4 linked regions of the Notamacropus eugenii genome follow. The protein of the gene in region 2 interacts with the protein of the main gene of each other region in a pairwise test. Links are inferred from orthologs where the notes say so. Each region holds a gene or a part of one and is shown on either strand. Other genes may lie near its edges. The genes, in order: TRIM37, CWF19L2, GFAP and NAB2.

Evidence for each region.
Region 1: the proteins of CWF19L2 (region 2) and TRIM37 interact in binary tests that used the Homo sapiens proteins (3 or more experiments, as listed by UniProt). The two-hybrid records come from large-scale screens. The link is inferred for Notamacropus eugenii from reciprocal best matches to the Homo sapiens genes CWF19L2 and TRIM37.
Region 3: the proteins of CWF19L2 (region 2) and GFAP interact in binary tests that used the Homo sapiens proteins (3 or more experiments, as listed by UniProt). The link is inferred for Notamacropus eugenii from reciprocal best matches to the Homo sapiens genes CWF19L2 and GFAP.
Region 4: the proteins of CWF19L2 (region 2) and NAB2 interact in binary tests that used the Homo sapiens proteins (3 or more experiments, as listed by UniProt). The two-hybrid records come from large-scale screens. The link is inferred for Notamacropus eugenii from reciprocal best matches to the Homo sapiens genes CWF19L2 and NAB2.

What each region holds. Positions count from the first base shown.
Region 1 is NC_092873.1:371,820,815-371,828,551, reverse strand, and holds the start of TRIM37 (E3 ubiquitin-protein ligase TRIM37), read left to right. Parts: upstream 1-4,726; 5' UTR 4,727-4,979; intron 4,980-5,196; exon of another isoform or gene 5,197-5,326; 5' UTR 5,327-5,419; coding exon 5,420-5,440; intron 5,441-7,320; coding exon 7,321-7,422; intron 7,423-7,737. UniProt on the Homo sapiens protein: E3 ubiquitin-protein ligase required to prevent centriole reduplication. Probably acts by ubiquitinating positive regulators of centriole reduplication.
Region 2 is NC_092876.1:147,499,943-147,507,391, forward strand, and holds the start of CWF19L2 (CWF19-like protein 2), read left to right. Parts: upstream 1-4,435; 5' UTR 4,436-4,591; coding exon 4,592-4,684; intron 4,685-7,449.
Region 3 is NC_092873.1:348,995,376-349,002,663, forward strand, and holds the start of GFAP (glial fibrillary acidic protein), read left to right. Parts: upstream 1-4,283; 5' UTR 4,284-4,293; coding exon 4,294-4,745; intron 4,746-6,744; coding exon 6,745-6,805; intron 6,806-7,157; coding exon 7,158-7,253; intron 7,254-7,288.
Region 4 is NC_092874.1:232,431,425-232,439,388, forward strand, and holds the start of NAB2 (NGFI-A-binding protein 2), read left to right. Parts: upstream 1-4,956; 5' UTR 4,957-5,328; coding exon 5,329-5,411; intron 5,412-6,924; coding exon 6,925-7,783; intron 7,784-7,964. Other genes in the region: uncharacterized protein, read right to left, coding at 803-832, 2,650-3,300. UniProt on the Homo sapiens protein: Acts as a transcriptional repressor for zinc finger transcription factors EGR1 and EGR2. Isoform 2 lacks repression ability.

The sequences.
Region 1 (7,737 bases), on a different chromosome or scaffold from region 2:
CTCCACACCATGGGTCCCCTATACCTTTCCGGTAATATTTTATATTACCATCCACACACCCTTGCTGTTCCCCAAACGTGGTGTGCCACCTCCCACTTTTAGCCCTTTGCACAAGGTAGACTTCATGTTGAGAATGCAGTCACTGCTCACCTCTACTTCTCAGAAATCAGCTTTGTCTAAAGCACAATGTAGGGATTACCTCCTCCTATAGAAAGGCTTTCCTGGTTTCTTCTTGTAATTACTTTGGATAACCTTTGTATTTACTTAACTTTGTGAATCAAACCTTTTTTCCCCCCTTCAGAGCAAAGTATTCTTTGTTGTGAAAAATCACAAGACACTGAATGTTTAAGTTGGCAACAAATAACGGTTCCTGGGCAGTCAGGCCTACAGCAGCCTTTATCTGGGGATTGGGATTTCTTTGCCTTTCCTTTCCTCTCCCACTTTACTTCCCTTTGACTCCCAGTTGAGGAGGCAGCTTTGCACTGTGGTGGATATAACTGCTACCGTGACCTTCCTGACTCAAGGCAGGAAAAACAGGAAGCAAGCTGCAGCTGGGAGAAGGTAGAAGTCTCAGGGTATGGGAAGGAATTCCGCAGCACACTTAGCATTCCATACAGCCATCCCCTTTAAGGATCACTGGCATGTGTGCTTCTCCTCTCCCTTCTCTGCTCTCCTCCTCCCCCCTCAAGTAGAAAGTAAGTTCTCTCTGGTTATTTTTTATTTTTGTTGTTGTTATTCTAGCCTTTACATCCTGGTCTCCAGCACAATGCTGGTACTTAGCAGATGTTTAAAACAAACATTTGTAGGATTGGATTGGATTGAATTGACAGGCAGGAATTTGGGCCTTTGTATTTTTTTGTCTCTTAAACCCCTTTTCACGCCACAGTGATAATAATCTTTTCTCACAATCTGTTTTGGGCATTAATTAGCTTATCACAGAAATAATGACTCAGAAGGGGTGAGGGGAGGAAATGGGCACACTACACAAAAGTCAATAAAAAACCCCACCAATGTCTTTTTATGTTTCCTTGATCTACTAAGGGTACTTAATGCTTAAAATAGCTCAATAACTAGGACTTTCCAGTAGCATGGTGTAATAAAAAAAATTACATTATGGATTTGAAGCCCAGCTCTGCTACCTATATAGCAACAGAAACAAAAAAAAAGTGGAGGAGTTCTTATTTTAGCTCCTACTCCCACTAATAGACTGGGTCCCTGAGAGTAGCTATTGTATCTTTTCCTTAAATATTCTAGGATAGAAGTGTTACTGGGTCAGAGCTGCATGTAGCTCACAACATTCCCTAATGTTGCTGAAATTAGATTAAAATGTAATTAGGAAATATTTAAGAAGACAAAACATAATAAGATATAGATTATTACATTTTAAAACTAAGTCAATATGTGGCTGTAGGTATCCTTATTATAGGATTTAGTGACCTCTAAGCTCATCTCCTTTCTTCCTTCTAAAAATAGGAGACACAACAGAGACAAAAGCAACATAGGTGCCATATATTCCAAGGCACATTATACTGGTTGGGGAGGGCCTACAATGGCAAGCAGGGAAGAGAGGGATTGAATTGTCAGTATCTTTATTATGCACACTCAGTTTTGGATCAGTAGTCAATAAAAAGGTTTTCCAGGATGATATCGCAGGTGAACAGAAAAGTCAGTGTTTGCATATGCTCTGAAGTGGAAGATGTGGCCTCTCCATTCTGTTACATCTCACTTCCAGAAGCAGACCACTCAAGCATCTACATACTTTGGCAGCAGACAGAAGCATTTGTGTATACTGCTAGGACTAGGCCCCTCATTGGCTAGTCACCCCCCATCCCCACCCTCCCCTTTTGCTGTGAGACCTTGGGTACATTACTTCATTCCTCATTCCTGTAATCCTCATCTGCAAAATAAAGGTGTTAAGACTAGATAACCTGGAGGATCTGTTTTTCGCTCTAGATCTGGTAATCTATTGCCCTAAGACTTACACGATTCTCTGATCCTTACTCATTAGACCTGTGAGCTCAGTGAATATGAAAAAAGGGATGGAGGATATGCATAGAGTCCAGGGTGAGGAACTTGTGGCCTTTTGACTGAATCCAAACTTTTGTTTGTCCAAACATTTGTTCTGTAAAGTTTGGATTCATTCAAAGGGCTGCATTTGAGGGCCTGGGGGTCCACATGTAGCCTTGAGGCTGCAGGTTCCCCACCTCTGGCATAGACTAACTCGACCTTGTTACTGGGGCAGCCAACTGTATTGTCAGCACACATGATTTGGCTTAAGCCCCAGGTCTGGGGAAAAAAAATCCCCTGAATGAACAAGAACAAAACATTTGTAGAAGCCTTTTACCCAAGGAATTAAAATGCAGCTGGGATGGATGCCTTCAGAATAGGACAGAAGTCTTTGGTGTACTATAACCCAAGAACTGGCAACTAGTCCTAAGGGAAGGGGGTGTGTAAACAACTGAAGCAGGGACGGGGAACAGATTAGAATTACTGGTTGGTGTTCAGCACTACCACTAATGCTATTTCTTGTTGGGGGAGACGAGATGCTAGGAAAACACTGTATGTAGCTCAAGCCAATGCAGAATGGTGGGGACCGTCTTTGATTATGAGAACAAATCTGCTGAAATGCCTACTTCCCTGTTCTGATTCCAAGAGCCTCCTTGCCTAATAGCCAGCAATATTTCTCCCCAAGGCCTGTCATCCTTCTCCCTTTGGCAAGTTCCTCCTGAAGTCTCTATTTTGTGATGATTACCAGGCCAATCTGCCTTCGTGGTCCTCCCCTTTCTTGTTGCTTCCTCTCCTCCACAGCCCCCTTTCAGCTTTCTTTAGCGTGTGATTTTTCCTCCTTAGAAAGTAAGCTCCTGGAAGGAAGAGACTTTTCTTTGTGCTTGCATTTACGCTCTTTGCATTTAAACACAGTGCCTGGAGCACCATAAAGGGTTTAATAAATGCTTGTTTCCTTCCTTTACCTCCCTTTAGTTCTTGTGCTGAGTCTAAATGTGATTTCCTACTTCTTTGGGAGTTTGTTTGCTTTTTGTATTTGTCAAGTGCAATCAAAAGAAAATTGTTTCTCTGATACTCAGTTTGTGCCCCGAGTAACATACTATGGTTGCCTAAGGGGGAAGTGGAGGAAAGAGACAGGGACTGTGATTCTTTTTTTAATTGTTGAGATTTTTCCCAGTTTGGGGGCTCAATTAGAACTACATATATTTTGATACATATCAATAGATTCTTCCCCAAAGCTGAGAAAAAAGATGAATACAGACTTAAGACCCCCAAACGAGTCAGTAGGAGGAGGGCTAGGCAAGTTAAAGGGGAAGGAAGCCCCTAAGAGGCAATAGTTAGAAGGAAACACAAAGAGGGTTTAGAGACCTAGAGGGACACAAGTCTGGAAAGACTTAAGGGTGGGGGCCTGGAGAGAGGTAGGAGCTAATTTTCTTGATTGAAAACATCATTCTTTTCTTATCCCTTCCTTCCCGAACTGCCGAAGCCCTTCTCCAGTGCCAGGCTCTGTATTCAGGGGCTAAGATTAAATAAAAAGCAAGAGTCCTCAAGGAGCCTCTATTTTTAGTAGTGAGAGTGCGAGGTGGCACCCGGCCTAGACCTGAGTTCAAACTGGACCCCGGACACTAGCTGTGACCATGGCAAGTCTCTTAATCGATGCGTGTGTGCCTCAGTTTCCTCCGCTGTAAAATGGGGAGAATGGCAGCACCTCCCAGGGTTGTTCTGAGATACCTGTAAAGAGCCTGGCACACAGGAGGCACTACATGAATGCCACTGTTACTAGGAAAGCGCATCGTGGCATCAGGGGTGGGATGCTGAGGGTAGCAGCCAAGGAAGCTCATGACTCTTTCCAGAGAAAGCGAGGTTAGACTGTGAGAATGACAGTCCTTAGAGCAGCGGCCAGGGTCAGGGGAAGAGCTGAGAAATACGACATATAAGCAGACTGATGTCCTCCTTCCTCCTCCCGCGGTGGCAGGATGCCCCGAGGTTACTGCGGGAAGTGCCAAGGTGAGTGGCGGCACGTCCCGCGGGGGCCCTTCCGTAACAGCACGTTAGGAGGCTGGCCCTGCCGGGCGGAGCTGCCTTTCCCTAGCCAATCTGTCCTATTCTGTTCTGAATGAACGAACGCTCCTTCTCTCAGCCGTTACATTCAGAATACAATACAAATCCCCGCCATTCTTCCTCCCGGGGGCGTGGGAGGGGGCCTCGCTTCCTCCAGAGGGCTCACAGGCAGACGGGAACCTTTCCACGCAGGGCGTTCCCAAGGGCTGGAAAGGCACCCAGCGAGCCGCCTGACACGTGCCAGCGGCCGAGGCGGCCGCGTTCGTCCTCCGCTGGCCCAGACCCCGACCGGACCCGCCAGAAGCAGCGCGAGCAAAGCCTTATTTCCAATGCACTCCTTCGTCCACCCGCCCACCTATCCCGGGCCAGTCACCCGGACAAGACCCACCGAGGTGCAGCCTCCCAGGGCACCTGGCTCGAGTTCGGCTCTGAGAAAGCCCGGGAGCTGTCCCGGGGGCGGGGCATCTGGAGGCCCGGCCTACCGGCCCGGCGCGCTCTCCACGCGGCGGAAGGGCGATTTTCGCGCGGTAACGGGGGGCAGGGCATCCAGGAGACTCTTCCAAGATCCGGCCGAGTCGCGCAGTCCGGGTCAGCACGCTCTCCGGCGGGGGGGGAGGAGCGCTCGCTGCCCCTCCTCCGGTTAGTCCCCGCCCTCTGCGGTATTCCAGGCCCCGCCCCCTCCGCGGGCGCGCGGACTCCGAGCCAACCGCCGCCCCGCTCCCAGCCAGCCGCTACAGGCCCGCGGGGGGCGGCGCGCGACACTGCGGCAGCCGCGGGACGGTCTCGTGCTCCGCCGCGTCGCGAAGAGCACGTTTCTCCTCTCTTGCGGAGGCCTCCTACGCATGCGCGTTGCTCCCCTCCCGCTGCCGCCACCACCCTAGCCACCAGCTGCCCTGGTTACCGTTGGTGTCCCGGTACTCCCCTCTCCTAGCCCCGCGCCAGCACTTAGGCGGGATAGAGCCGTTCCCCCTGTCACGGGGGGGGTGGGGGGGAGGGAGCCGCTGTGGGGGTTCACGCTCGGCCCATTGTCCTCCCTGTTCGCCCGCTCGACCCCCCGGGCTAGGCTGGGCTGGGCTGGGCTGAGCCTGGCGCGCGGGGCCGGCTGACTGGAGAAGGGAGGGGCGCCCGGGTGGGGCGCGCGCGGACAAAAATGGCGAAATGGGGTTAGGCGGCGTGGAGGCGGGAGCGGCGGGGCGCCGAGGCGGGACCGGGTAGACCCGAGCCCCTGACCCCCACCCCGGGCATCCTGCTGTTCTCTCAGGCCAACCGGACCTGGCCACCCGGTTCTAACACCTGGTGGAGGAGAAGGACGGACTCCGCGGGATACCGCGGGGCCTGGCGGGAGCTGGAGGCAATGGATGAGCAGAGCGTGGAGGTGAGAGAAGAGGGGCGACGTCACTGCCGAGGGGAGGGGAGGGGGCGTTCTTCACCGGGGCAGCTCCGACCCCCCCCCCCCCCCCCCGCCCTCTTAGCCTTTTCCGAGGGGGGCGTGTCGCGTGCTCCAAAGGAGCCAGGCTCGCTTGGTTCTCGGCGCCACGCCCCCCAACACCGATGCCCCCCCACCGGCCCACCCCCTCCCACCGGCGACCCCCCAACACCGATGGCCCCCCTCCCGGCACCCCCCCAAGTGCCGCAGTCAGCTGGGTGCGCCTCTGGTGCTCCTTCCCGGGAGATGCCTTTGCACAATAATCCCTGTCCAGAAATGGAATGCGAAGGAATGGGTGCCCGTGTGCCCGCACTCTGTGCACCCGGCTCGTAGCGGTGCCCCGATTCCCCCTTACCGCACTGCCGGGCCCTTTTTTCTCTGCCTGGTAACCTGCCTGCCTCCAAGGGATGGGTAAAGACGTGCAGAAGTTCGGGCTCTGAGGCGCCGCGTCTGCCGGAGGCAAGGGGAATGAGAACCAGAGCTTAGCCCCCTCCCCAGCTTCCCTCTACCCCTGGGGAACAACCCCGAGAAGGGTGGGGGCTTACTCTGGGACGTGTGCTAAGGCACCCTGAGCCCCCAAGTGCTGCCGAAGGTGGCCGGTGAGGACCCTCGCTGCCCTCTTACTAGCTGGGACGTATTTGTCGGTTTATTGCTGTACGCTTATTTACTTCGATTTCCCTCAGCGTAGCTGTCCTGTTAGCTGTCCCCTTACACTACGTTCCAGTTTTGTTACACGCACGTTCCGTTAGGTTATATTCTATCCCCTTTCCCCCTCGGGAGTTCCCAACCTTTTTGGATTGCATCCTCAGATCCCTAGGCTTTCAGTCAACTTTCTGGTACCCTTTTATTCAATATGAAAGGAAATAAATTCTAGAGTTTACTATGTACGTGCATATAAGAAATGAAAGAGAAATTATTTTTTTAATAAAGAAAGCTTTATTTGGTACATAACCCGTTTAGTATTATAAAGGTTTTTTCCCCCATCAAATGTTGTGTTAGAACATATTAAGATAAATTAGTGAGACCTTTCATTCTTCTTGTCAACAGTTTTATTTTTGGTACAATTTTTGAAAGAGATATCTGCATGCCATATCCAGCTTCCACTTTTTTTCTTGCTTTAGATTTAATTGAGAACAGGATTGAGAAACCTGATTCCCAAAGACAAATTGTTATAAATGAAATTAAAGCTTTGTGAACATATAAGAATGGCTTACTGTTTTCCAAAGGTATACCCCAAGTTTTGTAACTTTATTGATTGGAAATCATTTTGAAGTCTCTAGTTACTGTGGAGATGAATTGGTTCATCTTTCACTGGGATGTTGATATTTTTTTCCAGATCCAAATGAAAAGTTTCATATTCCAAACCTCATTTATTTGGTTTTGGTCTATAAAAAATATTCATTCTCCCTTTCAGATTTTTAAAGTGCTCCTGCCTTTCCTACCCTGCCCCTGCTTCTTCACCATTTTTCTCTCAATTCACTCATTTTTTTCACTAACACTATTACTTTTGAAGTATTTCAATAGACTGACATTTATTTACCAAATATTCCTCTACTCCCTTGACAAGGTTTTCTTATTTCCTGGGGGAACATTTATACCAGACTGGGAACCCCTACCCTAATAGATACAAACTCTAGGGTCTTGCTCTTTTTCTTTTGGTTCTTAGTGAATTTCCAGTGTCTAGCACACTGCCATGCATGTAGTAGATACTTAATGTTTGTTGAACTGTTCAACCCATTTCTCTCACAGAATGCATTTAGAATTCCCAATAAGGTATTATATTAATGTTGATTCAGTTGCCTGATGTAGTGGTTTAATTATTTTCTTAGAGTATTGCTGAGGTTTTCCGATGTTTCATTTGTATGGAGAAATTGCGTGATGCACGTCTGTGTCCACATTGCTCCAAGCTCTGTTGTTTCAGCTGCATCCGGGTAAGTACTGTTCTTTTTAGTTAGAAGTAAGTAGGTTGGGTTATGACTTAAGGAGACTTCTGATAGATTGCTAAGGTGGACTTTCCATTTCTTTGTTGTTCTTCCCTGGCTATTGCAATTCTTATTTTAAAATGTGATAATTTTATTATTGTCAGTGAAATGAATGGGAAGGGTTTGGATTAATTTTTTTCTTTGTGCTTCATTGACATTATTCTCCAAGTGAATACTTACTTACCTCAGAATGTGTGAGGGTGATGTGAAAGGTAATAACATAATGGTTATACTTTGGGGCCTCGTAATGACTTTTTTCCTCAT
Region 2 (7,449 bases):
TTGCTGGGGCAGGAAGGACCAGCTTACAAATGCTGAATACATAGTATCCTCTGTGAAGAGGAGCACCATGAAGTTGGCTTACATTTTGCAATCAGATCTAATCAGCAAGCTTTTATGCCTCCCAAAAGTAGTGAATAACACGCTCATTGAATGCAGCTGCCAGTTACAGGAAAATGCCATGCCACCATCATCAGAACATATCCTCTCACCAAGATTAATCTTGATAAGTTCAAAGAAAAATTTTATGAAGACCCTGGGTACCCTCATAACCAATGTGCAAAAAGAGGGCCAGCTTGTAATTCTGGGTGACTTTAATGCCAGAGTAGGCACAGATTATCAGATGTGGCAGGGAATCCTCAGGAGGATGTAGCACCAATGTGATATTCACAGTGCCTATAGCAGCCATGAATATGCCAGCACAATTCTGAATTGCGAAATACCACAGACTCTCCACATGGAAGACAGAGCAAAACATTTACTCAGACACAATAACAACGCAGAGGGCAGCACCACCCTAAAGCCTTCCCTCTTCTAGGCTTCCCACAAACCAGCTCCATTAGACAAATCACAAGTAGACTCCCTTAAACAAAATCACAAACAGGCTCTTTCACTCACACTAGCCAGCTGCCTGCTTGCTTGGATCCTTCCTAGCTCTGACTGCTCTGACCAATCTTTTTCTCAGCTCTGCTCTAGCTCTACCTCTTCCTGTTCCACCCTTCCTGCTCTACCCGTCCAGCAAGCTCCTCCCACAACATGTGACTTAGGCTTCCATGTGATTTAAACAGGTCACATGGACTTGTTAATAGATGGGAAAGATCTTCAAATTAAGCAAAATATTACACTAACAATAAGCAAAAATGAATTATCAATACAGAGGAACATAGCCAGAAATAGCAATATCAATGGTCATTTACTACTGAAGACTTGAGTGTTTCACAGCTTTCTCATCGTCAACACCGCCTTCTGTTTACCTACATTCAACAAAATGTTTTGGATGCACCTTTGTAACAAGCACTGACTATATCATTATAAGGGGAAGAGACAGGCAGGAAGTGAGAGTGATGAAGGTGATGTGTGGCACACAGTGCTGGACTGATCACAGACTTATCCTTTTAAAGCTAAAATTCCCATGCAACAAAAGTGGTGGCCCCAAGGCAAGACAACAGTCAGGAGACTCAACCTCAACAGATCAGAGTGCTTCTGCTTTCATAAAGTTTATTGCTGACCTGAAGGGAAAGCAGAGTCAGCAAACAGCAACAATGGAGCAGAAAAGGAGTGGGTAGCATTCAGAGATTTGGTGTATGGCACTGTATTTGCTCATCTGGGCCAGAACATTTGCAAACATAAGAACTGGCTTGACAAAAATGATGGGGAAATTAAAGAAGCTGTTAGACAAAAAAAGAGAACTCTACAGTGTTTGCCAGGAAGACTGTTCATCTGTCTCTAAGAAGGCAGTATTTAACTCTATCAAAAGTAAACTGAAATCAAAGCTTAGAGAGATGTTGGATTTTGAATTCAGTAAAAAGGGAGATGAGATTCAGTTTTCCACCAATAGCAAGTATCCCAAAGTGCTTCTATGATGCCCTGAAGATTATTTATGAGCCAAAGACCTCTGCTGCATCTCAAGAACTCAGCACTGATGGAGTCACACTGATTAGTGATAAGGATATGATCCTGAAGAGATGGGCTGAATTCTTCTATAGTGTTCTCAACACATCACCATCAACCAATGCTGAAGCCATTGGCTGTTTACCTTAGGTTGAAGTCAATCCCTCTCTAGATGAACTTCTAAATGAAGGAGTACTGAATGCCATTAGGCTTCTTTTGTGTGGCAAAGTGCTTGGCACTGATTCCATCCCAGCAGAGATCTACATGGCGGACAGGTTCACTGTTCATATAGATGCTGACTGAAGTCTTCCAGGTTATGTGGCAAGAGGAGGTTATCCCTCAGGAGATCAAGGATGCTTCCATTGTCCATCTCTATGAAGGAAAAGGAAACAGATTATCCTGTGACAGTTATAGGTGTGTGTTTATGTGTGTGTGCATGTCTGTGTGTGTGCGCGCGTGTGCGTGTGTGTGTCTTAGTCATTGCTGGCAAGATTCTTTCCAGAGTACTCCTTAATTGGCTGATCCTTCATGTGGAAGATAGTCATCTACCAAAGAGCCAGTAAGGCTTCAGAAAGGGCAGAGGAAACGGCATTATTGTGTTTGCTGCCCAACAACTCCAGAAGACATTTCTGGACCCAGTGTTTGTCGACATGACCAAGACCTTTGAAACTTTGATACCTGATACAAGGCCTCAGTCATGAGATCTTATGGAAGATTATGTTGAACTTTGGCTGCTTGGAGAAGTTCATCAATATTGTACACCAATTTCATGATAGCATATTTGTGTAAGTTCTTGATAAAGGACAATACTCTCATGCTTTCCCAATTATCAGTGGAGTGAAGCAGGTTGTGAGCTTGCTCCCATGCTTTCTTAGCATTGTTAGCATTTCAGCAATGATGTTAGATGCCTTCAATGAGGGAGAAAACAGCATCAAGGTCAGCTACTGCACTGATGGCAAATTCTTTAACTTGAAAAGGCTACAAGCTAAAACTAAAGTAGAGGGAGAGTTGGTACACAACTTTTTGTTTGCAGATGATTGTGTACTCAATGCAGACTCTGACGCTGAGATGAAACAGAGTATGGATTGATTATTTGCTGCTTGTGCTAATTTTGGCCTGACAATCAATACCAAGAAAATAGAGGTTCTCCCACCAGCCAGCATTTTTCCATCCATTCATGAAACCGTTGGTTAACAGTGAATGAAGAAATTTTTAAAAAATTATTAATTTATTTATTTTCAGTTTTCTATAATCACTTTCATAAGTCTTAGATATTTTCCCCCTCCCTCCCAAGAAATTTTCTATAGTGTGGGGAAATTCACTTACCTTGGTAGTATACTTTCCAGGGATGTTAGGTGATGAGGTTGATGCATACAGACATTGCCAGAGTTAGCCCAGTGTTTGGGAGGCTCCAAAATAAAGTATGAGAGAGAAGAGGTATTAGGCTACATACCAAACTGAATGTCTACAGAGCCATTTTGTGCTGACCTCATCACCATATGACTATGAAACCTACCTTGTGTACCAGTACCATGCCAGAAAAGCCAACTGTTTCCATCTGAATTGTCTTAGATAGATTCTGAAGATTACCTGGCAAGATAAGGTATCAGACACAGGTCCCTGAATTATTGGCATTACAACTCTATGGCAGAAAGTGTAACTCCAATAGGCTGGTCCTGTAGCCCAAATGTCAAACATATGTTTACCTAAAAGACTATTTGGCTGAGAAGTCTTCTAAGGCAAGCACTCACATGGGGTCAGAAGAAGTGGTACCAGGACACTCTCAAGGTCTCTCTGAAGAACTTTAGTATCAAGTGAAACATGGGAGACCCTGGCACAGGACTGCCCGGCATGGTATACCTGCATCAAAGAAGGCTCTGTGCTCTAAGAACAAAGCAGAATCACAGGAACACAAAGCAAATATGAGAGGTACAGATCTAGAAAAAGCCATCCCAAATGTTCAAATGGCCTATTTGTAGTTGGAGCTGTGGTAGAGAGAGTCTTGTGAGCTCCCATCGGACTGATCAGCCTCAGTCAACACGCTGTACATCACTGTGCCCAACAGAGTGATGTCATTGGTACTCCACAACAACAACAAACACTGTGGGAATTAATTTTCTTTGTATAATTCCTCTGTGTAATTAGTAATAATATAATTATTCTCTGTATAATTAGTGGTGAAAATGGGAGTTTTTTGAGGGAGGCGTGATAGTGGGTGGAGAGGAGTTGATGTCTAAAACTTTGGCAGCAGAGCGCAGCGTGGGGAAGCTCTAGGTCAGAAGGGGGGAGGGATCCCCAAGGTCAGAAGGGGGGAGGGAACCCCAAGGCTAGAAGGGGGGAGGGATCCCCAAGGTCAGAAGGGGGGAGGGATCCCCAAGGTCAGAAGCGGGGCTCAGAAGTTAGGGGTGAGCAAGGGCTCGGAGTCAAACTTCATGGTTTTGCGGAGGGTCGGTTACTGATACAGGGGTGCCCCGGCTGCGAAAGGTGAAAAAGAGCATCGACTTTCCATAGCGAGCAGTGAGGTCCATGGCAAGACAATCACATTCTCGGGTGCCCGGTGGCATCATCCCTTCCGGTAACAGCCTCCCTTTAATGCTAGCAAACCTAGCCCAGAGGTGAATACGCGGTGTCCCAAAGGTCTCACAGCAGGTGGGTCAGCTGACTAACTCCTTTCTCCACCTGCATTTGCCTTCTCCTCCCAGGATTTAGCTAGACTCGAGGGAGGAAAAGACCCCACTCTTGGAGAGGGAGAGAACAATTCCTCGCGCGCATACCCAGGACTCTGAAGTTCCAACTCTCCTTCCCATAGGGCGCCCCGCCCCTCTCCGTCCCGCCCCGCCCCTCTCCGTCCCGCCCCTCCCCTCTCCGTCCCGCCCCGCCCCCAGGGACTCCTGAGAGCGACGAACCGGAAGGTTCGCTTTTACGACTGTCGTAAGCCGACTTTTACGACGGTTGCCTTGGGAACTTTTCCATAACAACAACGATGGCGGCTTCCGGTGGTCGGTTTGAAAGCGCTAGGAGCATCGAAGAACGGAAAGAAGAGAAGCGGCAGGCTCGGGCCGAGGTCCTGCGACAGGTATCTCCGTCTCAGAGCATCCTTGTACCGTCGTTCCCTGTGCCCAGGGCGCTGGGGGTCTGGGGAGCCACCCCTCCGGCCACCGCCTGCTTCCTCCCTGTCCCCACGCTCTCTTAGGGGCCGCTCTCAGGCCTTCCCGTCCGTCAGCTCCCACCCCGAAAGCCCGCGGTCGCCCCCGGTCACCCCCGGGGTTCTCGCCGTTTTAGACCATTTAAGCTCAGACCTCACTAAGGCTTGTGGGGACCCCTGATTTCAAGTCCCGCTTACAAGTACAAGTGTTGGAGCGTACGGACAAGAGGCCTAGAAAAGGGGAGGAAGGCTGCCCAGGGGTTCAGGCCTCGCCTCCTTTTGCTGTCGTTCTGGCGAGTTTTTGCGATCCAGTCCCATTCAGCGTCCTCTCGCCTCCCCAGCCTCCCCCCAGCTTCTCCCCTTCCCTGTTTCTCTTCTCTCTTCTACCCTTCAGCTTCCTTTCCCTATTTATGGCCTTTTCTTCTGTCTTTCTCCTCTTAACTGTTTTCTCCTTATCTTCCTTCTCTCCAGAAGAAGACGATTTGTGTAATGCGTATATATAGTCAAGCAAAACAAACTCCATTACTGTCATATCAAAAAAAAAAAAAAAAGATCTTTCCCTGCATTCTAAGACCATCACTTCTCTGGGCTCCCTCCCTAGCCCTCTCCTACATTTGCACTATTTTCCCTGCCCTAGAAAGTTAAGGATTTCCCGGACCATGGGGTAGGCGTCCTGATCACCTTTTTCTTTGTTTTTCTTAAGCTGTCAGATATTGAGAAACTGCACCTTCAAAAAATGTTGGATGGAATAGACGTTGTGAAGCTCTTTAATTTTTCTGAAATGGAGGATGGACAGAAAGATTCTGAGCACTAAATACATCGATTGTCTTTGTGAATTTGTGAAAACTGGAAGTGCCAGTTTTTCCTTTGGAATTTTAATCTACTTGTCCAATATTTTTTTTCCTTACTGAGTTTAAATTTCCCTCAGATAAAAGTGTATTTTGCAAAAAAAATTTTCATTTGAGATAGTCATAAATGGGTGAATATATAAATTGGAGTTAAGTAAGAGAGCGTTTCTGAGCAGTTCCATAGATTTTTTAAGAAAAAAAGTTATTCTTCATTTTATTACATGGTAAATTCTTGAGGCTGTGCCTCAGTTGAAGGTTCAAAAGATTATGAGAGTTTTGTATTTCTAGGCTGAACTAGGAAAGATATCTAGATTAGCTTTTTCAAAAGTCAGTGTGGTTTTGCTTAATCACATTTGTAGAAAATAGGTATTACTGTTTCTTGCTCTGTGAAAATTGAACCTGGAAGAGGATTTGAGTCTTTTCCCCCCTCTTTTCCTCTATGCCTCTCTTGATTACTTGTTGAAATGGTGCCATTGTTGCTATGGTTATGATTTTGAGGATAAAAAATAATAATAGCATTTATGTGTCATTTTAAGATTTACAAAGAGCTTAGAAATTAGGAGGTCATAGGATTTAGCAAGGGAAGAGACCTTGTAGACAGCCCAAAACTCTTATATTACAGACAAGAAAAAGAGGCCTAGAGAGGATAAATAGAAGAGACTGAATTTGAATCCAGATCCTTTGACTCCTGTTTTCTGCTACAACAGTAGTTTTACTTGGTAGGCACAGTTATATTGACTTTCATATTTTTTTATGTAGCAGCATCATGCTTGATTAACTTAGTTTTCTTCTCAATGTCATTGTGAAATAGCTTTTACCTCTTTTATTGCTACATGCTAAAGGAACTCCATCCACTTCAGTAAGCATTTATGTTCAAATCACTGTGTTAGACGCAGTGGTTAAAACAACAACAAACAAAAAAAGTTACATAGACGAAAAAGGGCACATACCTATCATCACATCTATTAGGGGATGGAATGGGGGGGAGACACAACATGTAAGAATAGACAGCAGATAAGTACAGATACAGATACAGTGTAATGGAAAGGAGGACACATTAATTACTGAGGGAATAGGAAAGAGTTTTTTTTGTTAGAAGTAGTAAGTACTTAAGTGGAGCTTTGAGCCTTAAAATGAGGTGGAGCAGAGAAGGAATGTATAACCTGTGTCAAGAAAGAGAGATGTAATGTTACAGACAGGAAACAAATACACCCATCTGCCTGGAATGTTGGGTGTATGAGAAGAAATATGAAGTCAGTTTGACAGAAGATAGAGCCAGAGAAACCTCTGATATTTGTTTGACTCCTGTTCTTTAAAAACTTTGGAAGTCTTTGTAAATAGGCATAACATGACACTATTTGAATTTCTCATGTTTTCACCTCTTTGTATGTATTGAAGAACTCTAGAATAAACAAGTTTATTTAGGTTAAAATTTTATATTACATACACCTTTTGTTCAGAAATCTGACTTGCCTATTGTTCATCTTGGTGATTTATATTATTTTTAGTGAAGAGTTTACACATTGATATTTAAACATCTTTGACTTTTTTGGCTGTTTGAATTCTGGTTATACAATGGAGAAAGATGTTTGTGGAAGAATGACAGATACTAGTACAAAATTTTGACAGTGTGGACTTACCAAAAGATAATCTATTAGATGTATTATTTGTTGAGTTGTGTATTGATTCAGCCATTCTGGAGAGCAATTTGGAACTATTCCCAAAGGGCTATAAAATCACGCATACCCTTTGACCAAGCAATACCACTACTGGGTTTGTATACCAAAGAGATAAAAAAGGATAAAGACCCATATGTACAAAAATATTTATAGTTGCTCTTTTACTGGT
Region 3 (7,288 bases), on a different chromosome or scaffold from region 2:
GACTCCAAGTACAATTTTTTTCCAGTATGCTCGGTGGTGGCAAATTCCTCTCCTCTGAGAGTAGACTGGATTTTTGAAAACAGGAAGACATCAGGTGGAGCTACATTTGGTGATGCAGCAAAGGACTAATTCCCATTGGAATAAAAAGCTGAGGAGTTACTATAAAGGATGTAATAGGTTTTGTTTAAGGATATTCTTTCTACTCTGGCCTGGGCAGTTGGGCACTGCCATCTAGCTGCCAGCTAGACACTTCATTCTCACTCAGTGTTTGGCCAGGACATTGACCCTAGGGTCAGCCTCCAAAGGGGCCAGGCCAACAACTTCTGCACTTCCCTACTCACTCTCCTCCCAACCTGGATCTCTGGACCCTTTTTAGTCTTAGTCAGTCAAGCTCTGTTGAGTTCTTTGTCTCTTCACTTGGATCATAGGTCTAGAACTGAGAGAACCCTCAGGAACCATCTAGTTCAACCCCCTCATTTTACAGAAGAGGGAACTTTGACACAGGAAGGTTGTGTCTCATCCACAGTCACACAACTAATGTTTCATAGTCAGGATCTGAATGTAGGTCCCTCGACTCCAGAGTCTGGGATCTTTCCAATGTGCTATGACAATATCCCTAAGCTTCAGTTGTTTTTTGTTTTTTGTTTTTTTTTTAATGAGAGGGTTGAACAAGATAAGTCAATAAATCAACAAGCATTTATTAAGTGCATGCCTGAGCTAGGTGATCTCTTAAGGTGCCTTCCAGTTCTAACATTCTTTAAAAAAAATGTAACCAAGGATCTAAGACAACTCCAAAAAGGCTCATGATAGAAAACACTATCCACATCTAGAAAAAGAACTATGGAGTCTGAATGTAGATCGAAGTCTACTATTTGCTCTTTTTTTTTGTTTGTTCCTCCCATTGGTTCTAATTCTTCTTCACAACATGACTAATGTGAAAATCTATAGATGTGAATATAAGATGTAGAGCCTATATCAGATTGCATGCTGTCACAGGGAGGGGGAGAAAATTTAGAACTCAAAATCTTTTGGAAGTAGATGTTGAAAACTAAAAATAAATCATTTAAAAAATATAACCAAGGGTCCAGATCTTTGCTAGTTGACTGAGTTCTCAGCTGCCCTGTGCCTTCCTCCATGATCCTATGTTCGTGAGGTTGGAGTTCTGAACTATAGAGGGAGTGGGTACACGAAGGGAGAATATTATCAGGAAAAGACCCAAGTTGGAAAGGGACCTAGGCAGAAGGAGAGTGGTCAGATGAAGCTGAGGGCCTCTGGCTGTAGTTTGGGGTGCATCTGTCCTGTGGAGTGTATCTCAGAATCAAGTCTGTCTGTTTTTGTGACTGTCTATGTAGAGGGTGGTAATGGGGTATAGGGTTGGAGGCAGGAACCAGAGCAGGGCTTCAGGGAGGGTGAGTGATGAGGATGAGGCAAGGAATCAAGAGTGGGGCTGCTCTCATAGCTATCCCCTGGGTATGGTGATAGGGCAAGTCACTGGCAGATGGGCATTGATTCAGAAAGACAGCAAGTAGCAGATGAGATTTCTCAAGGCTCTTATATGTCACTAGTCCCTCATGATCATTACAAAAGCAAAGAAGGGCTACCTAGCTTGTTTTTGTGATTTATTATTCCCCTCCAATGGCTTCCTTGCTGTTTCTCAAATATGACATTCCATTGCCCAACTCTGAATTTTCACTGAATGTCTTCTGGGTTGTGATGTCCACCTCTTGACTTTCCTGGATTCCTTAAAATCAGCTAGAATCCTGCTTCTCCAAGAAGACTTTCTCAGATCCCCTTAATGCTAGTGCCTTTCCTCTAATTTATCATCTTTCTCTCTCTCCCTCCCTCCCTCTCTCTCTTTCTCTCTCTCTCTCTCTCTCTCTCTCTCTCTCTCTCTCTCTCTCTCTCTCTCTCTCTCTCTCTCTCTTTCTACACCCATACATCTACCCATCTATCATCTATCTATCTATCTATCTATCTATCTATCTATATCTATCTATCCATCTCTCTCTCAATATAGTTTGTACATATTTACATATTGTCTTCCCTATTAGAATGTGAGTTACTTGAGGGCAGGGATTGTCTTCTGCCATACTTTGTAACCCCAGTGCTTAGCACAGTGCCTGGCACTGTATGTAGTAGGCACTTAATAAACACTTTTGATTGGGTTTGATAGCATCTTTAAAGTTCACTGGAGTGTTACTTTCTCTTGAATGTAAATGGCAGGGTGCTGGGGGGAAGAGTACACAAACTTGCTGAATCCCACTGGAAATGTCCTCCGTTTCTCTAAAAAATGAAGATGAAAAAGTCCAGTCCCTCAATCTTGTCCATTCCCTAATACCTTACAGCCAGCCCTTTTCCTACCTGTGGGGGAGTCCAAGCCTTTCCTGGGCCCTGCCTCCAGGGTTCTCCAAGTGCTCCAGACCTAAACGCCTTTGGGTAGTGTGGGCTCTGGAACTACAGACTTCATCTTGCTCCCCCTCCTTATGGGGGCTCAGAGGTAATACCCAGATCTGACCCCAGCCCACGCTGGTGCCACTGATTGGCCAGCTGTGGAATAAGCTCCAGTTGGAGACAATGCTTTGTAATTCAGACTCAAGGTTCCACTGAGTTTCTCAGAGAAACTGTGATGAGGAGAGTCAAGTTGGCTTTGTGGAAAAAGTTGGGGAGGGAGCAGTAGCTGTAAACTGGAGCTGGGGCCTCTCTCTGAAGATGATTTCTCTTTTAGCTTTGGGTTTTCCTCTTCCCCCCTTCCCGTCTCTACTCCCCTTACCCAGCTTCTTCTGCCCACTGCATGACTCACCTTGGCACAGACACAATGGCTCCAGGGTGGGCACAGAGCCCACTGCCTATTGCTCATCAGCCTGACTCCACTTCTTTCCGAGAAGCCCATTGAGCTGAGAGCTTGGGCAGCACCCTTGTTTGGCAATCTTGCATCCTTGGGATAAAAGCAGCTTCACCTCCTGGGGGGTTGACATTTTTCTCCTCCCAAACCTCTCAGAACAATAATCCTTTCAGCAAATGCCCAGGCAAGTAGAAATCAGCAGCCTGAGAATAGTTGGGGGTGGGGGTGAGGGATGCCTATCTCACAGAAGCCCAGGGAATCTGGGACTGGAGCTTGAACTCTATGTTATCGAAGCGAGAACACTAAGGTCTGAAGACAGGATAGGAACCAGGGATCCCAGGCACCAGAACTCTCAGTCCAAAGTTTACCTCAAAGGTTAACTTATTGTTCCCAAAGTTTTGCTCCTCCCCATTTTCTTATTTCCCAGAGTACCAGTACCTAGCTCCTCTGCCAGGGAACCTAGAGGATCTAATGTGTGGGAACTCAGGGGATATAAATCTTCAGTGAGATATTGGTGGGGGAAGGGAGAGGATGGAGTATTGAGGACGGGACCCTGGGAACTCTCCCTGGGAGACAGCTCAGCACCACACAGCCTCCCTGGTCATCTGTAATGGCTTTGTGGAGCTGTCCAGTCCTGGGCTCTGGTAAGGCGCCCAGTCAGAGGAGGGTTATGAACCAGGGCAGGGTGGCATGGTTGGGAAGGCCAGAGACGTCCTATGCCTTCCTCTGGCTCATCCTTGACTAATCTCCCCCACCTCCACCACCCCATCCCCCAAAGTCATTCCTCTCTTCTATGAAGACCAATGGAAAAGATGGCAGAATAGAAGTCAAGAGGGCCTGAGTTCTAGCCCCATTTTTGTCACTAACTACTTGAATAAACTTAGACATAACTAAGGACCTCTCTGGACCTCAGTTTCCTCTTCACCAAAATGAGAGAATTGCATTAAAAGATCTTGACGGTCCATTCCTGTTTTGAGATTTTAGGAGCCAGGTTTCCAGACTGATAGGTCCTGGCTAAGCTCCAGGTCTAAAACTCTTGGTATAGAGGGAAACAGGGGTAGAAAGAGAATCTTGGAGAATGGGAATTTTCAGAAAAATGAACGCCCTTGAGAAGCCCTATGTTTGGAGTGGGAAGGCCTATGAGGTGTATCACAGTAGAATAATTTATTCCAATTCCCTGGAGAATACAAAGGCCAGCAAGAATACAGGGAGACCTTTCTCTCTCTCTCCCTCCCTTCGGTAGAATAATGAGATGGGAACTAGGGAGAGGAGAGAAGAGGGCTCCCCCCCCCCAGGGGGGCCTTCGGTCAGTGCCTCATCCCTTTCCAAGGAATGGTGCCAAAGTAAACATGGGCAGTGCCAAGAACCAACAGCTCAGGGTAGTGGAGCTGGGTGTGCCTTTCTATAAAGCCCCCTTGGGGCTGCCTGATCCAGCCAGAACCAGGGCCAAGATGGACAGGCGGCGCATCACCTCCTCTGCCCGCCGATCCTATGCCTCTGAGGTTGTGGTACGCTTCCCAGGTTCCCGCCGCCTGGCTCCAGTTGTCCGGCTCTCCCCGAGCAGAATGCCACCTCCGGTTCCCACTAGAGTTGACTTCTCAGTAACTGAGGCACTCAATGCCAGCTTCAAAGAAACACGGTCCAGTGAACGGGCCGAGATGATGGAACTCAATGATCGCTTTGCCAGTTACATCGAGAAGGTCCGTTTTCTGGAGCAACAGAACAAGGTTCTGGCAGGGGAGCTCAACCAGCTTCGGGGCAAAGAACCTACCAAGCTGGCCGATGTCTACCAGGCTGAGCTGCATAGACTCCGGTTTCAGCTGGATCAGCTGACTGCAAGCAGTGCCCGGTTAGAGATCGAGAGGGATAACCTGTCTGAAGATCTGGCCACCTTGAGACAGAAGTGAGTAGGTGGTTGTCCTAAGGAGAAAGGGAGAGGAAAGGGTGCAGTGTGACTTGAATAGGCTGGTCGCCCCCTCTGGAGCAAGGTTATCCAGTGGTAACCTGGGGCAATTCAGAATCTCTCTAGACTTCAATTTCCTCATGGGCAAAACGAAGAGGTTGCATTGGGTGATCTCTGGGGTCCCTTCTCAATCTAAATCTAGGATGTTACAGTCTTGTTTTCCCCAACTTAATAAGAATAGTTCCTACTTCTTGGGTCTGTGATGAGACTGAAAATAAAAAGAAGAGATGAAGCTAGAAAAGGTAGGGAGAGGAGACCTCAAGGTCAAATCCAAAAGCCACAAAAGATTCTCGTTCTCAGTTTTCTCCTGGGAAAATGTGTCTGATTCTTGGAGCAGTAGCTCATTCTGGAGGAGAAGTATGGGACAAATGGCAGGGTGCCTGGACTCTGACAGCTTTTGCTTTACTAGGTTACTCTGGGCATCTTGCTTGACCTCTCTGGGACTCAGAACTGTGTAGAAATCAAGGAGGGAGAAAGGGATGCGAGTGTCAGAGGGAAAGACAAAGTTAGATCCTGGATGTTTATGAAACTGTGGTTCTTGTGCTTCAGACTCTGGTTTGGGGGGGTCTATTAGTCACTCAGTTCATTAGTCTGCTCATCTCACACAGACTGTGAACTGTTTCATCCTTGTGAGCAGAGTCCTGTGCTGAACCCAAGGAGAGATACGCGTGCACACACACACACATCCCTCTAATCTGACCAGGTACATAAGAGACCCATCCAAAATAGAAACAAGGATGGGCTCTTGGGTAGAGCTGTGAGCATCGGTGCTCAGGGAATTCACGGGGAATGGAAGGAAGTCAGGAAGACAGGTAGGAAGAATTAAGGAAGGCATCCCGGAGATGAGGGGGAGTCTTAAACAGGGCTGGGGAGGAAGGAAAGGAAGGGGTTAAAGAGTGAGGATAGAGTGGGCTGCCAGAATGGGTGTGAGACCACTGTTTACATTATTCTTCATGGCCACCTCTAAGAATCTGGCGGCCCTTTAGTTATTCAATTAATCAATTTATTCATGCTACAGATCAACTATCCCCTGTGGGCAAAGCCTTGTTCTAAGCATGAAGGGGAGACACAAGCATCAGCAGGGACTACCTGGATATGGATTGGAAAACAGAAGCTGAAAAATCCAGAGAATACATTGGGAGGAGTCAGTCTAAAAATGCCCTGAGATTCTAGGCAGGAGTCTGAGCAGCACTGTAGGGCCAGGCTGACATCCAGATTTAGAGATGAATTCCTCATTCTGGGGCCATGTGGACAATCTGCTCACATGCTCTTAATAGGCATGTTCTCGGATAGCCTGTGGTGCCCAGAGTTGAATGGGCAATAGAAAGAAACCCCATGGAGAAACTTCTGGGCTATTGGAGGGGGCCAGAAGCAAAGAGGAGGGGAGGGAGTGTTTTATATGTGTGCATATCATTGTGTAGAGAGATATAGATGGGTTAGTGGAATAATGCATGTATATAATCTATTAACTAGTTGCAAGACTCTAGGCAGGTCACTCCCCCAACTCTGGATCTCCATTCTTTCATTTTCAAACAAGGGAATGGGAACCAGGTGATAGCTCAGGGCCCTTTTAGTTTGTCGGAAGGGCAAAAGTTTTGTCCTCCCCTTAACTTCCCCTTTACTCCAGAGGATTGTTGGGACCCTTCTCTCTGTAGCCTTCAAATATCTCATGGACAATTTAAGGTCACTATGTAACATAGTGGGTAGAGTGCTGGGCCTGGAGTCAGGAAGACCTCAGGTCAAATCCAACCTCAGGCTCTTCCTAGTTATGTGACCCTGGGCAAGTCATTGAACCTCTATTTGCCTCAATTACCTGTACTGTAAAAATAAGGATGATAACAATAGCACCCACTTCACAATGTTTTTTGTGAGGATCAAATGAGATCATATTTGTAAAAAGCACCTGGCACATCCTAAGTGCCTATCCCCTTCCTTGCAGGCTCCAGGATGAAACCAACCTTCGACTGGAGGCAGAGAACAATCTAACAGCTTATAGACAGGTCAGGGGACTTGGAGGGGCTGGAGGGAACCAGGCAAAAAGGTGGCAGCATCCCCTAAACTCAGCCTCTCCCTGTCTCTTGTCTTTGCCCCATTCCCTATGTCTGCCTTTGTCTCTCCCTAATCCATCATCCTTCAGCTCTGCCTTCTTTCCTTGTGCCTGGCTTGTCTCCAGTCCTGTCTTTTATCTCTGTCCTACTCATTCTCTGTACTATTCCCTTATCCCTGGAGAATGGAAGCTGGGTCAGAGCTGAGGGATAAGGAGAGTGAATGTGTGTATATGGGGGGGAGGGGGGCATTGGGGAAGGGGATGATATCCTGAGGTCAGAGCTAGTCCTCCTCTCCCTGCTGCAGGAGGCTGATGAAGCTGCTCTGGCCCGCCTGGATCTGGAACGGAAGGTTGAGTCTCTGCAGGAAGAGATTCGCTTTCTCAGGAAGATTCATGAAGAAGTGAGAAAACCAGAATGTTCCAGGATTTCCCTTCT
Region 4 (7,964 bases), on a different chromosome or scaffold from region 2:
AGAATTTATATAATAGTGGAAAATCTTTATCTTTTGAGGGTAATTGAGATTTTCAGAAATGGCCCAAAGTTAATCACCACTGAGTCTGGAATCTGCATCAAAGGATCAAACCAGGCAATTTACTGTTTTCGCTTCAAAAGTTTATTAACATATTATTAAAGTATATTATTAAGAATTAAGAATGGAAAGAAATCTTTCTCCCGAGTTGAAAATGGAGATGATTCACTTTTGTTGGCTATTTTTATATTGTGTATGCTAAAAAACAAGACTCCAACTGAAAAGCTGTTAGATTCATTGACTATTATGACCTACTATTTTGTGGTACAGTATATGTTTAAAATAAAAAAGGATCTTTGAAAAAGAAATTCACCTGCTTGCCTAGCTATAATCAATAAACCACTGAATAATTAATTATCAACATAATTATTACTTATAAGTCTGCCCTATCCACCAGGGCACACATAGGGATTTTTCAAAAGTAAAGAAACATATTCAAATATATTGCTCCAAAGAGCAAAGAGGGTTTCTTCTACTTCTAAAAAATAAAATAATTCTTAAAATATTGTTCATTTCATTCTCATATTAGCCTTTAAAATTTTTATTTTGTATATTTTTATGTAATATACATAACATTGTATAATAATACATGCATATTATTTATTAACATATATATTTCGGGTGTGTGCTAGACAATATTTTGCTAATATGGATATCTTATCTAAAAATCTGGAGCCCTCTATGCTCAAGCTATGTATAGGATGTATATATGCATAGCTTTGGAGAACCACAGGTCACTTCCACATCACAATAAGGCACCACATCTGAGGAGCATCTGGGGAAGAACACAGACAAGAATTATGCGGGATGAGAACATCTAGAGAACCCACGATCTGAACCACTGGAGGGAGTACACACGCCAGTGAGATCAGAAATCCATGTAAGCAATGAGACTCATTTGGTGATGCTTTTTGTTTCCCTGCCCATTTCTTCTCCAACACTTCCCCTCCTCCCATCCTTTGCTTTTCTCTTCCTTAAGCATTTTCTTAGGAAACTGGGCTTGAAGATCCTGGGTCCCTGTTCTCTAAATCAATTCATATTACTTCCCTCCTTATAGAATCCTCACACAAATCTGGATTAGTGAACAACCAGCATTTCTAAGAGCTATGTGACTGACTGCACGTATATAACATATAGCGGATTGCTTTCCCAATATAAGGAAGGGAGAAAAATGTGGAACTTAAAATCTTATAAAAATGAATGTTGAAAATTGTCTTTATATGTAATTAGAAAAAATAAAATACTATTTACATAAAAAGAGATACGACCCTGGGCAAGTCACTTAATCTGTTTGCCTCAGTTTCCTAATCCATAAAAAAAGATAACACCTACCCATCAGGGTTGCTGTAAGGATATCAGGAGATAATAACTGTCAAGTGCTTAGTACGGGGCCTGACACATAGTAAGCTCTATTAATGTTAGTTATTATTATTTCCCCACCTCCATTTCTTCTCGCACACAATATTATCCATGCCTGGAATACCCTTCTCCACCCACCCCAAACTTTTGAAATCTTAGCTATCCTTTAAGGCCAAATTGAAATACCACCTCCTTCAGAAAGCCTTCCGTATTCCCTAAGTCATTAATAGCACTTTCCCCTCAAGAATCCACTCAACACTTTTCTTGCAATTCCTCTAAGTACCTAGCAAGTGCTATTTTTTAAACTGTGGTTACTTATGTCTCATATCCTCATACCTCCAGAATGGTAGGAACTATCTTACCCAGCATTATGCTCTACAAAGCAGTAGTTGCCTTACAAGGGTACTTACTGAATGTTTAGTAAAAGGAATTAAATTAGAGGAAGCAGGGAAAGGGAAGAATTAGTCTGTGAACAAATAGTATAGTCCCCAATGTAATAAACTGCACATTATACGAAAACTCAAAACTGATAAAGAGCTCACTATTTCTGCTTTGAAAACCAATCGAAATGGGACCTTAGAGAAAAAAATGGGCCCTTTTCCCAATCAGGCAAGAAAGTGGTTTAGGGAGTGAGGAAGAGGGAAAGCTTATAAAGAAAGTGTTTTTTTTTTCTTTTCATTTGGTTCCCGTGAAAGAACAGGCTTCTAATTTGGTTACTGTCTCTATTTCTCTTTGTGTCTCTATGTAGCTTCTTAAGGCCCAGTTTTTGTTTCTTTGTCTCTCCCTTTTCTCAGGTCTGGAAAATCCTTGTTCTCAGAGGAAAGGAGTAGGAGGAGAATTGGAGGATGGTTGAGAGGAGGAGGAGAACAGACATCTCAGCAGCTCTGGCTGCGGGGGCGGCTGTGGCCGAAGGTGGAGCCTGACAATTCATTGATTTTGAAAAATAACAAAATCCACTCATAAGAACCCAGAGATACAAACACTCACAAGCACAAAAACACGCATCTAGAACACACAATTCACTTGGACAGCGACACACAGTATCAACCCCAAAAGATACAGTCACACTCTCAAACATTCAGGACACCTTCCAGGCCAAGTAATTGTCACCACTGTCCTACCCTGCCACAACTTACCCCCTCGGCAGATACAACCTACGACCTCAGTGGGTACAGTGTGGGGGAAAGCGCTCCCTCCTTTTCTTTGGGGAGTTCAAGGACTAACAGCTCTCACCGTCCCTACCAAACTCCTCTTGCCCCACATCAGCAGCGAGGCAGGGAATGCAGGGGGCGAGGGAAGGAAGAACCGGCTCCGCCTTCTGCCTCCGTCTCCCCGGCCGGGTCCCGTCCCAACCTCCTCTTTTGCCCTGCCCCGAGCCCTCGACTCAGGCCTCCTTTCTCCTCGCTCCCGGCTCTCCCTCCGGACCCAGGGGCTCGGCGCCTCCAGAGGGCGTCCGGGTGGGAGGGAAGGAGGCAGGGAGGGGGCGCCGAGAGCCCGAGGCTGCGGGGGTGGAAGGATGTGCGTCATGGGGAGCGTGGGCAGGAAGGGGGGCACGTGGAAACCCGGGGCCGGTGGCTGGCAGCTCAGGCCCCAAAAATAACCGAGGGGTGGGGGAGGGTCCACCCACGCTCGCGCCGGGGCTGGCGTTCCAGGGAGCCCCCCACCCTCGTGAGGGCAGCCACCAGCAGACGGACACAGCTCCCTCCGCCCCATGTTGGGCACCCTGTGGTTTGGAGAGGGTGAAGGGGACAATCTTATTTGCTCAAGTCTCACCCCCACCCCGACAGGAAATGCCCCAACCTCCAGGGAATGTAGACCCAACGAAAGTAGAGAAAGTGCGCCCGGTGCCTCTAACCCTCCCCGGCACACCGCCCACCCGTCCATTTCAAGTGTTGCGTGAACGCTGTTGAAAATTAGGGCATGTGGAATTAGAGTCTGGGGGCTTGGAGGCTGGGGAAAAGGCTGTCCTCTCCTGGTTGCTTGCCTCTCCTCTCTTTGTTGTTCCCCCCCTTATTATCTTCGAGTCCTGAGGAGTGGGGTGGGGTGTGTACCCCCCGCTTCCCCCCCCTTTCCAGCCGTGGGAGTGAGTGTAATAAAAACCATATGGAGCTGAAAGAAATGGGGGAGGCAGGGGGTTAGGGGGTAGAGAAGACTATCTGGATAAAGGCGGTTATTTGAAATTGCTCCACCCCTAGAATTCTGCTGTAGACCATCCCATATAGAAAACTTCACACATTATTTCCTGCCATTTAGCTATTCTGTATCACCAAGCGCTCTGAAAAGACCCCCTGCCTCCCCCCAGATGCCCTCAGTGCACTGCCTTACTTCTTAGGATATGACTTTTCTGGTGTAGAACAGCCAAGCTGAAGTTTGCCCCAAGGAAAATAAACTAGAAGTGATGAATAAAAAGGAAAATGGATTGGGGGGGGGGGGGGGGCGACTCCAATTTACTATCTGAGGTATACTACCTGAGGTATGCCTAAAAGCCAAGTAAGAGTCCCGCGGTTCACAATAGCAAACCAATCTTTGACCCTATGAAGTAACAAACTGGTATCCATTAGAAAATGTAAACAAATCTATTTGGTGGGTCCTAGAATTATCAGTACACATTCTGCCGATTTCTACCGCTGTTATCATAACAAACACCACTGTAAACCTCTAAGACAGAATAACAGGGTGAGGTTATATGTAGTCAGGGAGCATCTCTAAGGGTGACAGAAATCCTTAAACCCTATTCTAAAATTACCTTCTGGTTTCGGAGATATCGTAGATTCAGATCTGGAAGGAACACATAGCAATTGTTTTTTTCAACCCACTAGTTGGGTTTTTTTAAATAAATGAGAAAATCATGCTTTTTTTTTTAATAGAGGAGGAAACTGAGGCCCAGGGAGAGAGGTAGGGGAATCTGCCCAAGGTCATACGGCTTACTAGCCGCCGAGGAAAGATTAGAACTGACTTCTAATCCAAAATCAAAAGGCTTTCCATTAAAAGGTAGGAGACCAGATGAGTTTCCAGCCGGACGATGATACTGTCCCAGAAGACCCTTTCCAGAAATACCGTCTCACAGTGCACACACTGCGAGTCTCTATCTCCATCCTTCTTCCCCATTAAGCTAACACTAGAAGGTCTAGGAACCAAGGGACCTAGATTGTAGGGGGCTGGTGTGACTCTGCATGTGTCTCTCTGTGTGGTTGTGTTTGTGTAGCTGTCTCTGTGCGTACCTGTGCGTGGTAGTGGAACTCCACTCTCAGGTTGGCAGGGTCTGGGAAGCTGGAGTTGGGGGGCAGGGATGGATGCCTGCTTGGGCACTCACGTGGGGGCGGGGGCGGAGAGAAGGCGGGTTTTGCATCCGGAGTGGGCAGCAGAGAAAGCTCCTAGTCCCGCCCTTAAGATACTAGCCCGCCCTCTCCAGCCGGGCCTGGGTCACCTAGTCCCCTGCTCGGTGCCCCAGCCCCAAGTCCCCGCCCCTACCCCACCTCCGCCTCCGCCCCCGCATCCGCCCCCGCCTCTGTCTTTCCACCGCCTACTCCTTTTCCCCACCCCCCACCCCCCTAACTTCCTCCTGGCTCGGCCAGTCTCTTTCTCCGTTCTCTCTCCCGGGCTGAGGTCCCGGCTCCCGCCCACCGCCTCCAGCTTTGCCCACGCCCCCAGCCCGCCCGGCAACCAGCGCAGCGCCGGGCCCGCTCCCCCGTGCGTCCTGCGGGGGAGGAGGCGGTAAGCGCAGCCGGGGAGGGGGGCAGAGGCAGCGAGACACAGCTACAGAAAGAGGAGACGTGGAGGCAGGGACGGAGCCCGGACAGCGGCGGACACTACACGGAGCACTGGGCACCAGGTATTGGGCACCGAGCTCCTGGAGCAGAGCGAGGAGTACTGGAAACCGCCAAGGGTACCCCGGAGGGTCTCCTACCGTCCATGCACAGGGCGCCCTCCCCTACTGCTGAGCAGCCGCCGGGCGGAGGGGACAGCGCCCGCCGGACCCCGCAGCCCAGAGCCAAGTGAGTGGGGAGAAGTGGGCTGGGCTGGGCTGGGCAGGCAGTGAAATGATTCTGGAGGGGGACTGGGTATGGGGAGCTCAGAAAGAAAACAGAATCGAGAGGGAGTGGGATGAAGGTGAGGAGAAAAAGGGTGGGGGCTGTGAGTCCATAGAAAAGGAGGCCCAGGGCTCTGTTAGTGCCGAGTATAAGGAGAATATTACCTAGTCCCTCATTTCCTGCCCCAGGCACAGCTTGACGGGGTAGTTGGTATCTGGAACTAGGAAGCTCCATCCCTAGGGCAAGCCCCATCGCTTAGGGTTGGCCTCGGCGCCCCCGACTGGTTTAGCTTTAGGACGGCACGAGAAAGAGAAAACAGGCTTTTCAGTTGCTAGAAGCAGACCTCTTTGAAGGAAGAGAACACAGAGCTATCTCCTAGGACAGAAAGGGATGCATTAATTTCCCTTAATTTCTGGTTCTTTGTACACAGCTTGAGTGCAAGGGGCCTCTATTGTAGCCCCTCCATCATTCGCTCCCCTCCTCTTCTGCAGAGGTGGATAGGAATAGGGAAGAGGTGGGAGGTAGGAGGTGGGGGCCCCAGGGGCGTTTGCACCCACACACTCAGCCACTGTGGAAGTCTGCGTGGGCAGGACAGCTCCTGAAGGGAACAATGAATACACCCCTATCCTTCTTTCCCTTGGCACCAGGGCCTGGGAGGCCTTGGGGGCCATAGAAGGGGTGGAAGAAGGTCACTACAAAGATGGGGAGCGGGGACACTCAGAAAAGGAGCAGTATGGACAGAAGGTCAAGGCCTTGGAAGTTGCTGGTGGGGGAAGGGAAGTGCTGCTTGGGTGGGTAGGGGATGAGCCACACCCCTTTCAGCTCAGCTTTCAGAGAACTGGGGCTGGGGGAGGCCCTATTTTCCCTGAGCTCTTCTTGAAGCCCACTGAGAAGTAGAGCAGATCAGAGGTGCTTTCTGTCATGCCCTGAGAAGCAGAGAGATGTCCTATGGGTTGGGGAGTGGAGTTTTGATATTACTGTGTACTCAGTAGAAGAGGCTTGTAGAGTATGTTGGGGAGGGAGGAGTGCTTGGCCATACTAGGTATATACTGGCTTCAATTTAACTGGCATGGCAGTTAAATGTGGCACTAACTGCCATGGATTTCTGATGCTAGGATGAGAGAAAAGCATGATGAGTGAAGGCAGAGAATGAGGACTGTGGGGCCTTGGGTCCTGTTGAGGTTAGGCACCAGCACTTGTTATTTGCTGTGGCAGATGCACAGCTGTGCATGGCACATAGTAGGTATTTTAATAAATACTTCTTAATTGATGCAAGTTTACCATGGTATATTGGCTTCTTTCTGGATAGCTCCCACTTTCCCAGATCTACTTAGTCTTCAGCTTGAGCAGGTGAATAATGAACCTTACACAGAATGTAGAAACTCTCAATTCACAAGGAGGAAAAATAGACTGAGGGGTTGGTGACAAACCAAGGGAGCTTCCTTGACCTATCTTCTTCCTGTGTGCCCCTTCCTAGGCCCAGTGTTCCAACCATGGCACTACCCCGGACACTGGGGGAGCTGCAGCTGTATCGAGTCCTGCAGCGTGCCAACCTCTTGTCCTACTATGAGACCTTCATCCAGCAGGGGGGGGACGACGTTCAGCAGCTGTGTGAGGCAGGAGAAGAAGAATTCCTGGAGATCATGGCACTGGTGGGCATGGCCACCAAACCTCTCCATGTCCGACGTTTGCAAAAGGCATTAAGGGAATGGGCCACCAACCCAGGGCTCTTCAGTCAGCCTGTGCCTGCTGTGCCTGTTTCCAGCATCCCTCTCTTTAAGATCTCAGAGACAGCAGGTGGTCGAAAAGGGAGCATGAGCAATGGACACGGAAGCCCAGGAGACAAGGCGGGCAGTGCCCGAAGCTTCAGCCCCAAGAGTCCATTAGAACTAGGAGAGAAACTCTCTCCCTTGCCTGGGGGCCAGGGAGGTGGAGATCCTCGAGTCTGGGCAGGCGGGAGCACTCCCGAGTCGGACGTTGGTGCTGGTGGAGAGGAAGAGGCCAGCTCTCCTCCTTTCTCCCCACCTGCTGGGGGTGGGGTCTCAGAAGGGCCCGGGTCTGGTGGGGTGGGCGGTGGTTCAGATCGACTAGAACCAGAAATGGTTAGAATGGTAATCGAAAGTGTGGAACGTCTCATCCGGAACTTCCCCCGGGGAGACGCTGGGGAGGTGACGTCCCTCCTCAAGCTGAATAAGAAGCTAGCTCGAAGTGTAGGGCACATCTTTGAGATGGATGACAATGACAGTCACAAAGAGGAAGAAATCAGAAAGTACAGCATTATCTATGGACGCTTTGACTCCAAGCGCAGGGAAGGCAAACAGCTCAGTCTGCATGAGGTAAGGACCTCAGGGTCCCCCTCAGAGTTCATTGACCTTTCTCCCCTCCTCCCCCTGCCCATGCTATAATCTCTAGAAATCCCTGACCTCCTTCAGTACCTATAGGTTCCTCAGATTGTTGGCTCCTATACCTGACTTGACAGAAGCCCTCATCCCCACCAGAATGGAAAAGTTTGATATA